2 linked regions of the Lytechinus pictus genome follow. The protein of the gene in region 2 interacts with the protein of the main gene of each other region in a pairwise test. Links are inferred from orthologs where the notes say so. Each region holds a gene or a part of one and is shown on either strand. Other genes may lie near its edges.

The links.
Region 1: the proteins of cytoplasmic protein NCK2-like (region 2) and sorting nexin-33-like interact in a two-hybrid assay, tested with the Drosophila melanogaster proteins (2 studies listed by BioGRID). The link is inferred for Lytechinus pictus from reciprocal best matches to the Drosophila melanogaster genes dock and SH3PX1.

Annotation. Positions count from the first base shown.
Region 1 is NC_087250.1:9,496,760-9,503,952, forward strand, and holds the start of sorting nexin-33-like, read right to left. Parts: upstream 3,009-7,193; 5' UTR 1,836-3,008; coding exon 1,824-1,835; intron 1-1,823.
Region 2 is NC_087260.1:16,429,013-16,436,437, reverse strand, and holds the start of cytoplasmic protein NCK2-like, read right to left. Parts: upstream 3,005-7,425; 5' UTR 2,998-3,004; coding exon 2,008-2,997; intron 1,470-2,007; coding exon 1,266-1,469; 3' UTR 1-1,265. UniProt on the Drosophila melanogaster protein: Adapter protein that links cell surface receptor tyrosine phosphorylation to downstream signaling pathways and effectors, many of which are involved in regulation of the actin cytoskeleton.

The sequences.
Region 1 (7,193 bases), on a different chromosome or scaffold from region 2:
TTACATTATAGGCGTGATAATGAATTAGATATATATTAAAATGAAAATACAATAAAATAACAAATTGATGAATGAATAAATAAACAAATGAAAAATTAAAAAACATAATTAAAGATATAATACCAGTTGTGGTAATGATCTCAAAATCAGTTTTAATTATTTAACAGAATCCAATAAAATGACCACCCAAGTGTTTGTAAAAAATATGTGCCAAATTACTCTGGAAGAAAATGTGTAATTGCTGAGAAATATAGTGAAGCACAGAATTCCCTCAAAAATTCAAATGTCGGATATTTTTTCAAGCAATATTAGTACACTGCCTGATATCCCTTTCTGTGTTTATAGTGATCATCAGAATTATAGGTTTTGAGCGAAGATTTCATGATTCACAAAGATCAGTTTATTTCAATGTACCAGATCAACAAGTAGGCCTATATTGACCTTGATTTTAAATAAAGACTTTCTGATGAAATAACTGTTTGATACTTGTTTACTTGCATTTACATTTAAATGTATAGATACATGTAGTATGTGTACGTCTACATGTACATCTGTATTCTATGTTTTTGTAAGCATCATTTCTCACATGCACCTAATCGCCATGACCAATTGTCTGGACGCATGGACGCAACTGAGAATTATTACACACCATGCATACAGAGTAAATATTAATTTACCCTTGGACGAATAAAGCACAAATGTGTACAGTATTTCAGTTTTTTTCCCTTCTGTCTTCTTTCGTTCTGGCTATTACACTTGTTGTCACAAGCCACTTTGTTAACGATAAAAGTAATGAGCCATGAAGAAAAGTTGTTAAATGAAGGGAATATTATGAGAAATTTTAGGAGGATTAGGGCTTAAGTGGTACATGGGGCGGTCTGCACCAGCCAGAGTTTTCAAACAACCGCTCTATTTCTGATCCGGCAAATTATCCCGATTTGAAAAATCGCAATCATCGCGATATGATGTAGTTCGCTGGATTAATCTCTAACTTTGATAGGATTACTTGCAAAATAGCGCACTATTTACGAATTATCCTGCTATTACTCGAGATTCGACTCGGGATTATATATTAATGGCATCAGACCATGCATGCATTGATGCCTCGTACTTGGCAAGATTTGAAAGGAAGGAAACTGATAAATCATTTCTCCTTGAACAAAGGCAGTATCCTGCATTGGACAATGCATTGTAGACACAAGGCAGATCTAAATAGTTCCCTTTCATGTGCACAATTACAAATTTAACTTGTTTTTAAAGGGCCACACTACCCCAATAAAGAGGATTTGAATAAACTTAGAAAATCAAATGGAATAACAGGTGAAATTCCACCACAAAATCTAATGAACTTTTAAGAAAAACTTTGTCAAGTGCAACAAAACACTAAACAGTTACCCATAAACACGGGCAATACATGTATGTGCAAATGTTAATTCAATTCATAAGCTACGACAATGCCAATTACGCACAGAAACACATCTAGTGCCTCATTTGCAGGTGTGGGGCACAAAAACTTTGTGAACTGAGCAAAGCCTTGAAAGAAATGCCATAAACTTTCTAAAAAAATATCACATCCAATTATGGAGAAAAAATATCAGGGCATTTAACTCCCTTGAACCTTGTAAAAGTTAAAAGGAGTTGAGATAGACTTGGCATTTTAAAGTTAAAATCTACACAACTGTTGTGGTATTCTGGGACAAACTGAACCCAAAAGAATCCAAGAAAATTAAAGATAACATTATGTTGTCATTGCAAAAAAAACTAATGAAATTGGTCAAATTAAAAAAAAGTGAAATAAGAACTTTAATTGCACTTGACCTTACCTTTTTCATCATGGTGAAAGAATTATAGTACACACTATTCCACTTTTTAAAACTTGTTTAAGTGTTTTCCAACTTGCGATTACCAAAATTCAGCAAACATGTAGTCCATAATTGTATTTGTCCCTTTCCAAGGAAATGTTCACTTCAATTCACAAATGTACAATAGATGTTGATTACAACCTTGGGCTCACAGCATGTACATGTACATTTACATACGAAATCAACAATGTCAGCAACAAACAATGTAGGATGTGTACATGTAGGGAGGGGAGTCAATGGCCAAATTGATCAGAACACATTGTATGGAATCCCACACAAGGAAGGATGTAGGCCTACAGTATCAGGTACACAACTTCTGAGAACCAGCCAGAAAAGGATGTGAAGAACTCAGCCAAATAATGCCATCCTCAAGTGAATTTGATTATTCCTTTTATAGAAACATCCCTCGAACACATTGGACTTATTTTTTTTGTTCTTTTTTTATTTATTTAGTATCATACAAAGTGAAGTATTGAATCTCCAATTCTGAGGGGAAATCCTCTATGGTAGTTCCTCAAATCTTCCTTTCAAAGTTTCAGACCTACAATAGCAGATACTCCAATTCTGAGAAATAAAAACCTTAATTCCTGATATATCACTCATAATAGCAAAAGTTCCTGCATCTTCAATTCTGAGAAAAACAAATTGAAGTTTCTTTTATAACTCTCAGACACATTTGCAAATTAGTAAAGGTTACTCGCTATTATTCTCCAATATGTTCATCTCCAATTCTGAAAAAATAAAATATCTCTAGAAGTTCCTGAAAAACATGTATCACTCTCAGATTCACAATAGCGTACATGCGGATGATGTTGCAAGTTCTTCATTCAAGGATACTTTGCAAGACCACACGATTCTTGTTCTAATGCTGCCCACGTCACGTCACAAATATAGAGCAATGCAGAGGACTTGAAAAACTCATACAGCTGTTAATGTTTAACAGTGTACAGTTGAGAGCTCTATATAAAGCCATGTCCAGTACACATGTATAACAATCAAGGAACTCAGTCATCCCGCGATTAGAGCCTTCCCTTCACTTATGATGTCACTGTGGCTAAAAGCAGTTCGGCTTCCCAGAGAAGCGACAATCGCTTTTCCTCAAAGACAGTCTCCCATGTTTATGACTCATCCGCAGAAGTCTACATTAAACTGTCACACATTGAGAGAACTACATATTCCCTTCAAAGTGGGCTCTTCCCATTTGAACTTGAGTCAAGGAAATAAGGTGGTGAAAGTTACTACATGTAGCATAACGAGCTAAAAAAGATAGAGGGGCCAGACATGGGGCCCGTTGCATAAAACTTTTGCCATAAAAAAAAAGTCTGGCAAATGAGCGTCTACTGACGGTGTGCGCGCTCTACAAATATACACTATTATTATTATAAACCAAAACGCTGGCAAACAAAATTATGCCATTGAAAATTACACATTAAAAAACTCTGGCCAAAAAATTGCCAGAATTTTTTATGCAAAAGTTTTATGCAACGGGCCCATGGAGTATGGGACCAAGACACCGTTCTCATTACAATCCTAAAATGTACATGTAGTTTACCAGAAACCGGTTCAGGAGACCAGTTTGGAAGATGGCTTTGCTAGCATTCCCTTTAAATCACCTGAAAGTGGTTTTCATCTTGATGTAATGGGTACGTTCTCAGTTTCGCGCAAAATTTGAAACCGCAGTGTAGGCATTCTACTGTACACACCACATGTGCGAAGCTCGCTTCCCATCCCAAAGAACGGTTGTGTCCTCACATTTACACTACAAGCAGTTTAATGATGCAAAGAGATCTTGAACACTACATCCCGAGGTGGTTTTCCATTCGGTTTGGAAGATCGCTTCCAAGACCGTTTCGCCTGTTCTCATTAGGCCTACACATTTTCACTACTTAACTAGTTTTAGGACAGAACGGGTTATAATTTCTAAAATTTTGATGCGGCTATATTCCTCAAGTAGTGGGACAGATGAGACAATGAACAGCTGGAAGGTCTTTGGCGAAATTAGTGAACCAGAACAGCAATATCGGGTCGTGTGGTCCAGTGGTTACAGTATTGGACTCAAAATCGCTTGGTTGTGAGCTTGAATCCCAACTCTGCCATCGTCTCCGGTTTGATAAAAAGGCCTTAGAGTGATATCCGTCGTCTATAACGTCAGCCACTCTGATTAACCTACACGTAAAAGCTTTCCTAGGTACATGTAATTGGTTATATACTGTAGAAGCCGTTATTTTCGTGTACAGAATTTTTCGCGAATCGCGGGTTGTTAAATTCGCGATTGGAAGATGTAGTAAACATTTCCACAGCATTTAAAAGAAGTAAAACTAGTGCAAATCACTACTCTTCAAAGTACCTGTGCTGATGTGTCTTTTCTACAAAAGTATGTCCCTGTAAAAACAGTTACAAACTGTGGAAAAAGGTGGTTTAAATTTCAATTTTTTTACCTTTAGATCTGAAAATTCATCATGCCACAGTTTGATCTGTAATTTATAGGGTTAAGCAATCTTTAGAATTTGTGTTTTGTTCTATTAATTTTTCAAAAGGTTGGTAAAAGTGAAAAAATGTGGAATTTTGTGAACAGAATCTTCACCTCTATCTTCATGTGACTTATGAATATTAATGAGTATGCAAATAGCTGCCAATACGTGTGTATAGAGTCAATCAGATGACAATAAAATCAAATTATTTCATGGAAAATACATTTTAATATTACAGTGAGTGTATATATATTGATAAAATAATGTTAGTAAATAGTTTAGGCTCTGATTTTGTTTGAGAAATTAAAAAAAGGGAAATTCTAGCTAACTTTTTGAATCACTAACTGTACTTTCTAAGCCTTATTTTTTGTACATATAGAGGTGCATATCTCCACTTTCTCAATACACAGTATGTTTTCAATAGCAAAGCTTTGCTGTTGGGGACATTGGCACTGACTAAGAAGTGTGTCAATATTTTAAATTCGCGGCCTATCGGCAATCCGCGAAAATAAAACCCCCGCGAAAATTACAGCTTATACAGTACCAGCTTGGCGTTTACCAGCAAAATGCTGTCCTGCCCAGTTCCTACTGGAGTTACCATCAACAGAAACAGAATATCGTCCTAGGTTGCGGAGCTGACAAAAATTTGCAAAAATGTTGTTTGTCCAGAGTCCAGGTGCTGTTTTGATACACTAAATGTTTGACAATGACTTCTTTTTATCTGACAAAGCCTGATTTGAGGGACATTTACAATAGTAACAATCAGACACCTTTACTTTTCAGCCCCAGTCAAAACTAAAGGAAATTTTGTCAGATTAACACAACTACATGTTTTTCTTCCTTTATACGCATTAACACCTGCTCCACTGGTGGATCCAGGGGGGCACAGCCGGCCTGTGCCCCCCCCCCCCCCCATTTGAGAAGCAAAATTAAAATTTTCTTGGATGAAATCTCCTTGATTTTTGGTTTAAAACCTTTTTTTTTGCTTGTCCAATTTTTTTCTGAAACAAAATCTCCTTATTTTTTGGTTAAAAAGTTTTTTCTTTTTTTTTTGCTTGTCAAATTATTCCTCGGAAAAATGTGCCCCCCCCCCCCTTGGAAAATCCTGGATCCGCCCCTGACATGCTCAGTAATGATATATCTCATTTTTTGTAGTTTATGTACCATGTATCAGTATGTAGTCTGCTGTCCAAACCCTTCACTTGAGTAAAAGGGGAAATTGAAACAGCACGTTTTTTTATGTGTTAACTAGTCTTGTGTGAAGACCCAACTGGTGATCAAAGTTTCAATCAGGATACAGTATGTGCCTGCAGACTACAAGTACTGTACATGAAGTTTACAAGCTGGCCAGAAACAGTTCATAAAAATCTTCTTGCTTCACACAAAAATGCCTAACAAGTTACAGTATGTAATATACCCACTTTGCTTTGAAACTGCAAACAGTGCAATCGTAGTGGAATAACTTTGAAATCCAATTTCTGGAATATTACAGGCACTTTGCTTTCATACAGGCAAAATACCAAATACTGCTTATTCAAATGGGTGTCAATGCACAAATTGAAGAGCAGACAATATGACAAGATCTAGGAAGTAGTCAAGTATCTAGTTAACGCTGAGTCACGAGGACGATGGGTCGAGTTCAGGTCGAGAGCCAGCTGGAGACCAGGGCCCTGTCTCACAAAGAGTTATGATTGATCCAATCTCAATATGGAAATCCATGAATGTCATAATTTTTTTCTTCAGGAAATTTGTTCAATGTTCTTTGAACGCAAAGAGAAGCATACTTGTCATGGGTTCAAATCATCTCCAGCAAAAAATAAACATTACGCAGTGCTCAATCTACGTTTGGGTACCTTGCTAGTCCTTTGTTAGGACTGGGGCCCGTTGCAGAAAGAGTTGCAATCAATCGCAACTCTAAAATTCATGCGTAACTTGATTTTCAACCAATCAACAGCGCGCATTTGGGACTTGCGATTGATTTTTTTTTACTTGCATTCAAACGCAACTCTTTCCGCAACGGACCCCAGTTCTGCTTTCCAGTAGATCAATAACACAATCCTCGACCTCTACGCCCGAAATGAAAACAGCCCCACAATTTCCTACCCTCATGATGAAAGAGGGGATAGCGCGATCACTGGGGATAGCGCGATCACTGGGGATGGCGCGCAGGGGAGAATGAAGCAAGGGGAGAGAAATAACAAGTACATGCACCGACGTCTAGAATCTAGACTAGTTAGTACCTTGCAGGAATATTTATTTCTTGGAATGCCTGTGCACCATGCGATGGACAGTCATTAATTATTTATTATTGTTATTGTTGTTATTGTTATTATAAGTATTATTATTATTATTATATTATTATTATTATTATTATTATTATTATAATTATTATTATTATAATTATTATTATCATTATGATTATTATTATTATTATTATTATTATCATTATTATTGCTTATCATTATCATTATTATTATCACTATCATCATCACCACCATCATCATCATTAGCAGTAATACATGTAGAAGTCAAGTATTCTCTACCATCATTTTTTCCACTACCGTAGTCATTTGATGCACTTGTAAGCTTTTTTTATATTCAATTTTATTGAATTCAAACTCATTTCATCGTTTCCAAATTGTATTTCATCCTTACTAATTTGACAAATGACTTTGTTTTCCTTGTTTGTAAATAACAATTGTGCTATTCAAACCTTTTAATATAAGTTATGTAAAAACATTTGTTCAGCCTGAAGTGCCCATCGTGATGACACAGTCAACAACTCTCTGCACATGATGACCTCTATTAATAATTTTTTTTGTTTTGAATAATATTTTATTTTCTTCCTCTTTCAAATCAA
Region 2 (7,425 bases):
CTTTAATAGCACACTTGTCTATGTATTGATCAGTCACTATTGAGATGGGTAATGGAATCTGTTCTTCTTGTATAGACCATACAGGTTCTGCCATAGAGTGTAAGCAATTGTAATACTCAACATTAGTACATGTATACCTTAGTTTCACTAAAGACCAAACTTCGAGGAGAAGACAGTGAATTAACAAAGAGAGAGGGAGAGGGATTGTACAACAAAATGGCTAACATTAGAAATAAGTGAAAGTTGTGAACAAGATTGAAATTATCATCAATGCTACATGTAGCTATTGAATTCTTTTCATTTTATTTCCAAAGAATATCGTGAAAAGGGATATTCCTCTTCCAATGTTCTTGGTTTCTAAATCACAACAAATAATTGCCGCAATTGTTCAACCGATAATTTTTGTGTAGTCCAATACCAATACTTTTCCGTGTGCAGTCTGCAGTGAATGCAATTTTTGGAAGAATGTAGTCAATTTGTTATCACTTGGGCCATTCTCTTTCCAACTAAACCAGTTCGTACATGTTGGTGCATTACAACGAAAACCTCTATGGCTTTGAGAAAAGGTGAAGTGTACTAACAGGAGAAAAGGACACTTCTACTCAGTAGGATTACACAATTACGTACAAGTACTTTGTTAAATTCAAACCAGAAAGTTAACAATATTAGGGGGAAGATCTTGGACAAAAGCAACACTTGGAAAGTAGACAAAAGGTTTCCATAAGTTTCTTTGAAGGTCTGAAATAAAACTGACATTAATGCTTTTTTTCTTAATGCTCGATGATCCCCAACAGCACTTCATTCACTAGTCTGTTGAGTCTTGCAGCTATCACAAAGCCTGTGTATGAAGCTCATCCTATCATGATTCATATAGCACAATGTCCTAAATGAGGAGGCTCTTGCTGGTCAATAACTAACAGTCCAAGAGCTACATGTACATCTCAAGCATTCTTCATGTGGTTTCTTTGAAAACACATGTGCATGTACATTGGAATCTCACTTTGGTACATGTATATCAACATAGCACGGTGAGTCCCACAAGGCTCCAAGTTGGGACCTATGCAGTTCATTCTCAGAGTTTATTCATTCTTTACTGTACTCTCACACTCTCTTTCTCCCTCTCTCTCTCTCTCTCTTTCTTTCCTCACTCAATAAAGAAATGTAATCCCTCACAGGCGAATAAAAGATATTAATGCACACCCAGGCAGTTTTTCTTCTGTTCATGCTGGGGTATTTTCAGCGTCCATTAGAAATCACCCTTGACATTAATTTCTCTGATTCGGCCGTGTTAAATACAGCTTGAGTTCGCCATCGTCTGAGCTGAATATGGGTGAGCGTTTGTAGTGGTCTACGAGGTCATCTAATGACTCAAACTTCCGCTGTCCGATACAGAACTTCTTATCTGACCGCGTCACTTTGAAATGCTTCACTCGATCTGGAGCCTTCACAGACACAGCAAAGTCACCAGGCTGCGAAAATGAATAAAAGATAATAATTGTTCTTATTTCGTTTTTCCAAGGAATCATTTGATTTCAACCTTCTCAACTACTTCCTACATCATACTATGATACTGATGATTAAACCAATATTTAGAATGTTTTATATTCATAATTAAAAGTTTTATTGATTTCATGATTGTTTGTTGATAATTAGATTTAAGGCAGTGCTAAGGTTGAAATTTTGCTTTAATAATGTGCAGATTATCCCTTGAGACATTGTATTGAGAGATAATATAGAATCTTGAGATTACATTGCTAAACCAAACCAAAGTCCTAAAAATTTTGCACTGAACCAAAAAGACATTAAGGGTTGATGTATCTTATATATCTCAAACATGTACATCAACTTTAAAACTTCTGAAGAAATATATAACATGATAAATACCAAAGTCCATTGAGATTAAATGGCCCTAGCATGTATTTATCAAGGTATGGTGCCCAAGTGAACTTGGAGCGCACCCAGTTTAGACATTAAAATAACCACTTCTTTAGGGTAGCCTGTTCTTACCATTGTTTCACTCTCTCGTATGAGGAATAATCCACTTTCTCCAGGACAGCTCAGAATCTTCTCTGAATCCCCTCTGGTAATTCTTCCATGGAACCAATCCCTATCGTAAAATCTATCAGAGGGCGGAGCAAAGTTGTTGTCGTGCTGCGGCAAATCAATGGGTTTCGGAACAGCATCCTCAATAAAAAAATTTGTTGGGCACACAGGGTCCGCATTCTCTACAACCTTCACATAGTTGCTCGGAACTAGTCCTGTATTACCTTTCTTGTTGCGTGCTCTCCACCAGTCCTGATCGTCGGAGGGATTCGATATAATGTCCAGCGACTCGCCGTTTTCAAAATTTAATTCTTCTTCAGTCCTTGCCTTGAAGGCATACAGAGTTGTAACACCCAACACAAAGTCATCTGGGATGGAGTTGTCGTCACCTTTTGAACTCGTGCTGGAACCGTGACTATTTGGCATATTGGTGTCCTCCTCGCTCACATAATTTGAGGGGAACCACCCACTCTGTCCATTGCACTCTCCTCGCCACCATCCGTCCCCGGACTTCTCCAGAACGTTCACTTGCTCACCTTTGACCAGGTTGAGTTCGTCGCCTTGTGCGGCTTTATAGTGGTACATGACCCTTGCGAGTTGTGAGAATGGCATTTCGCCTCCGGTTTGGGCCGGGTGTGGATGTGGGCTTTCGCTGTGGGGCGGGGAGATCGGACGCGATGCCGGTTTCTGTACAGTACGCTTTGCAGAGATCCCCTTCCGGATTCTCTCCACGAGGCCGAGTTTGTCTCGCTTCACATAGTTCGAAGGGACATAGCCACATTTGCCATTCTGTTTCTCCACCCTCCACCATGATCGGGAATCGTCGATCAGCTTGAGTTTCTCGTTCCGTTTGATGCTGAGCTCTTCTTCTTGCTTGGAGTCGTAGTCCCATTTAGCGACTACCAACACAGCCTCCTCATCCGTCATCTCTGTAATAAAGATAGAGAAACACATTAATACCATCTACGATCTCTTCAAATTATTTGCCTTGTATACATTGTATATATCCTTTCGGCTTTGCATTATCAAAGATCCCATGAAATCGGTCTTTGGACTATGATTACACATTTTTTACTGCACTTATTGCAAGATATCCGGGACACATGATTGTTTTGAATAAGGATTGACTTATTTATTCTTATTTGAAATATTCATGTACATGTAGGACTTACATGTGCATGTAATAGTTTCTTGGTTGAGCTTTTATCATAAAAAAAATCAAGTACCAATATGTTCATAGCAACAGAAACCACGATATCTGATTGAAAACAAAAATAATCATTATCGAATTCTAGTACATGATGTCGATATTGAGCTTTCGGGACAGGGGATACATGGACATGCTTTTATAAAGAGCATTCAAATACATGTATGCACTGAAAAAAAATTGATAAGGTCACGTGTGCAGTTTACATGTACATGTAATCTACAAGCTGTTTTCCTTTTTTTCAGATAACCAAATTTTTGGGAAGGGAGGAAAAGGAAAAAAAATGGATCCTGGTTTTCAGGAACTGTAATGTAGTAATTTTTTCTACATGTAATAACCAAATTGTTGTTCCAAGTACCAGTCTATTTTTGTAGTAATCAATGAATTCATTACATTGTACATTCATAGTTCACTAATTCTGCAAATTCTTCTCCATTGTGTTTGCCCCTTCTGCCATACCTCTTAATGAATTTTTTTTTCTTTTCTCCTGTTTTTACACAAAACCCCATTCCCATCGCCCCCCGCTCTCTCTTTCTCTCCCTTTTCTCTCTTGTACATGTATGAACGCCAATCCTTCATTTTACTTTCATATGGACTGCAACACATTTTGATTGAACCAAAATGGGTTCACACTTTTCAACCCATAATCAATTAATAAATTCAACACTGTATCTCTTTTGTTCTTGGCATTTCAAAGTATAAAATAATTCATAAATCATCTATTATTCATTCCATCACCATCTTCGAATCGATCGTGGACTGGATTAATCATATTTGGATTACACCAATAGAATGTTAAAATGAGTCGAAGCTACACAATGTGTGCTCAGAGTGTATTGATCACAATACACACACAAACATACATTTACACATGTATGATATATGCATTGATCACTATATGTACATGTATGTATTGATCAGTACAAAACATTCATAGAGAATAAAAATATAAAAACTAGAAGAATTATGGAAATGTAATGTACTGAAGCATGCTTTATTTGGAGGGAAGTCTTCCAAATTAAAATATAGGCTAGGCCTACAGTATACTGTACTATACATGTACATGCATTTAATGTCAGCAGGAAGTTTATTTCACAGATTTGAGTAATCATGAAAAGTAATCAACTGCATATTAAAAGGGAGTACTGTACTTGAAGATTTCAGTTACAATCAATAGCACCCACTCTGTTTATTACACTGGATGTTTGTTTCATGTCAAACTACAGTATTTTGGAAATGTACATGCACATGTACATGAATTTGTGCAATGTTTGTGTTTTTAGTGTTTACTTGTACGTCTAACATTTCTTTTCAGCTTTAATTAATGTACTGGAATTTGGGAATCTAGAGTCCCACTGGATAAATGCTGTACACTATACATATGCCATCGACCAAGTACATGTACCAACAGTGGAGCATAAAGCAAGGTGATTCATTTTGTCACAGCTCAACAAAATGACCCTCTCTCCCATTTGTTCTCATACAAATTCCACAATAACCTACATGTATATATCCCCCCCCCCCCCAAGTTACATGTAATACCAGTATAAAGCAAAAAGAATACATGGCAACAAGTCTTGACACTGACTGCAATGCATATAGGCCTCCAGTCATACAGTACATGTAACTCCTTGGTCATACATGTACATCTGCTCTGCTCCATATGACCGTACATGTACAGCATTACATCAAAATTTGAACTTTACTTTTATAATACAGGGAGATTACACATGTATGTGCCAGACTGAAAATAGGCCTCCAACGTAATTGATCCGCGGCTAATCACGGAGCCAAAAATAATAATTCCTCGTTACATAATTTGCAGAACTAGTTTGTGTGAGTCGAACCCGCCCTGCGATGAATCATCGCCGCAGCTCGAGATTAACGCTAGCCTTGTCGGCAGACTTTCAAGCCCCTATTAAGCTCACCCTACGCGATCATGTGCAATGATGGAATGGCAATAGAGTTCTTTTTTTTATAAACATGAGGGATGCAAGTATAATGCCAACATTCAATGAACTCTAAATCCATACAAGAATAATTTTGCTCTATATCAGTCTCACTAGCACAAAAAAGAATGAAATCAATTTTTTTCACTTAAGGATCAATATCTTTCAGTGCCTCCGCTAATACACTTAGTTTAAAAATATATATATTTTACACGGATTCTGTGTAAATGATTAATTTGATTTCGTTCTTCAAATAGTCAACATTTTATCAATACCATTTTGCATTTTGAAATTTGTAAACTGAGAATGTCTTGGAGCATTGAAACTTCCTAATGAGTAATGTCCATTAAACACAGTAGTATTGAGGTTTCCATTAATCATTATCATCTACATGTATACTCATAATCCACTATATAAATGTGCTCCTGAATACTTGGAATCATTTTACCTCAATAATTCTTGCCTTTACAGTGTACGCTCCTTTCAAATTTTCTCTTTTGTATCTTACGAAATTACATGTAATAATACTTGCCGTTGTTAAAGTTAAACATTATCCCTTGATGAAAATACTAATCAACCATCCTTGGGAGATCCTATTAACACATGCTAATCCAATATCTCTATCGCTCATCAAGCACTTCACACAAAGATACTTTAACACAAATCCTGGTATAAGTGTAAGTCCAATATTCCAATTTCCTGGAAACGAGCGATGGGGAATTCTAGTCTCTACAATGTACATCCAGACAAAGTTCCATTTCCGTGCTATTAGTATTGTTTGATGAGAAATGGCACTATACTCACAAATCCAGAGAGCTTAATAAAACTGTTAATCCAAGCCTTTCACAGCTCTGTTTTAAGGCAAGAATCTTCAGATCCTGGCTAGCAAAGGGAATAGCAAGATACATGCAAGTGCACATCATTAAAAACCAAACGCAAAGTAACGGTAATGTAATAGCCAGAATCTGTAGGCACTACATGTACATGAAAAATTTATCAGTTGTCTCGTCAAGTACATATATAGCCTGGAAGGAGTGTCTATAAGTAATGAATTTTGCAGCGAGTTCCGCTCGTCCTTATGAAAAATAGTCGATGAGCCTGTATGGCCTATAAACTACCTCACTCTCACTTTCACTGTGCCGACACTTCATTATTACACACACGATGAGCGACCTAGCCAAAGTCTGATTAGATCGCAACTTCGGGAGGAACTTGAAGTTCCTGTTCCCAAGATCCGATAGGGGGCAGGGGGTGGGGGCAACGAGGGAAAGAGGGCACTCAGGGAGGGGGAGGGGGGTATTTTGCAACCACTTCAACAGGCGGTACTGAGTTTGTACACTGAAGACACTCGTGGACTTGATAGTCTAGGCAATCTAACCACGCTTGAGCCTCACGATAAGTTAAGTGCCATAATCAATACCAGATGTTAACACTGTACGGTAGTTCTTTTTACCTCATTGAACATAGGCTTATAACATGAAAAGATACCAGTATAGTTCACATTATAAGATGTACATATGTATATGGCCAAGTTTAGAAATTCAAACAAATTCAAACAAAATTTGATGTAAACTGAATTGTAAAAACTAAACTAAAAAGAGGCCATGTGGACTTGATCATTTGTTAGAATAAAGTTAATGTGCATGAGTTGACCTCCCATCATTAATTCAGAGCCAAGTTAATTTTTCAGACCATGATCTGCAAATCATGTGGAATATGTATGTACATATAATATACATACAATGTAAAAACGCGGTTTAAAATTTTAAGCACGTTGTTTAATTAAGCCCGTCACTCTAACAACTACTGTTTAAACTTTTCAAACAACTGTTTAAACTTTTTAAAGAACTGTTTAAAGGACTGTTTAAACAATTACAAAAAAGTTTAAACAACTTGTTGTTAGAGTGACAGGCTTTAAACAACGTGATTTTTTTTTAAATGTGTACATGTACCTTTTTACTTTAATAGTCACATTTCTTGTAATAAAGTCAGACAGATGAGTGGTCCAGACAAATTTGAATAAGGCAGAGTCCTCTATTTACATATTATTATTGTTATCATTTTTGTTTGGTTTTTAAATACTGTGCATCAAACTTCTTATTTGTACAGCATTTTTATTTAGTATTTATACTGCAATGTGTACATGTACCTTTTTACTTTTATGGTCACATTTCTTGTAATAAAGTCAGACAGATGAGTGGTCCAGACAAATTTGAATAAGGCAGA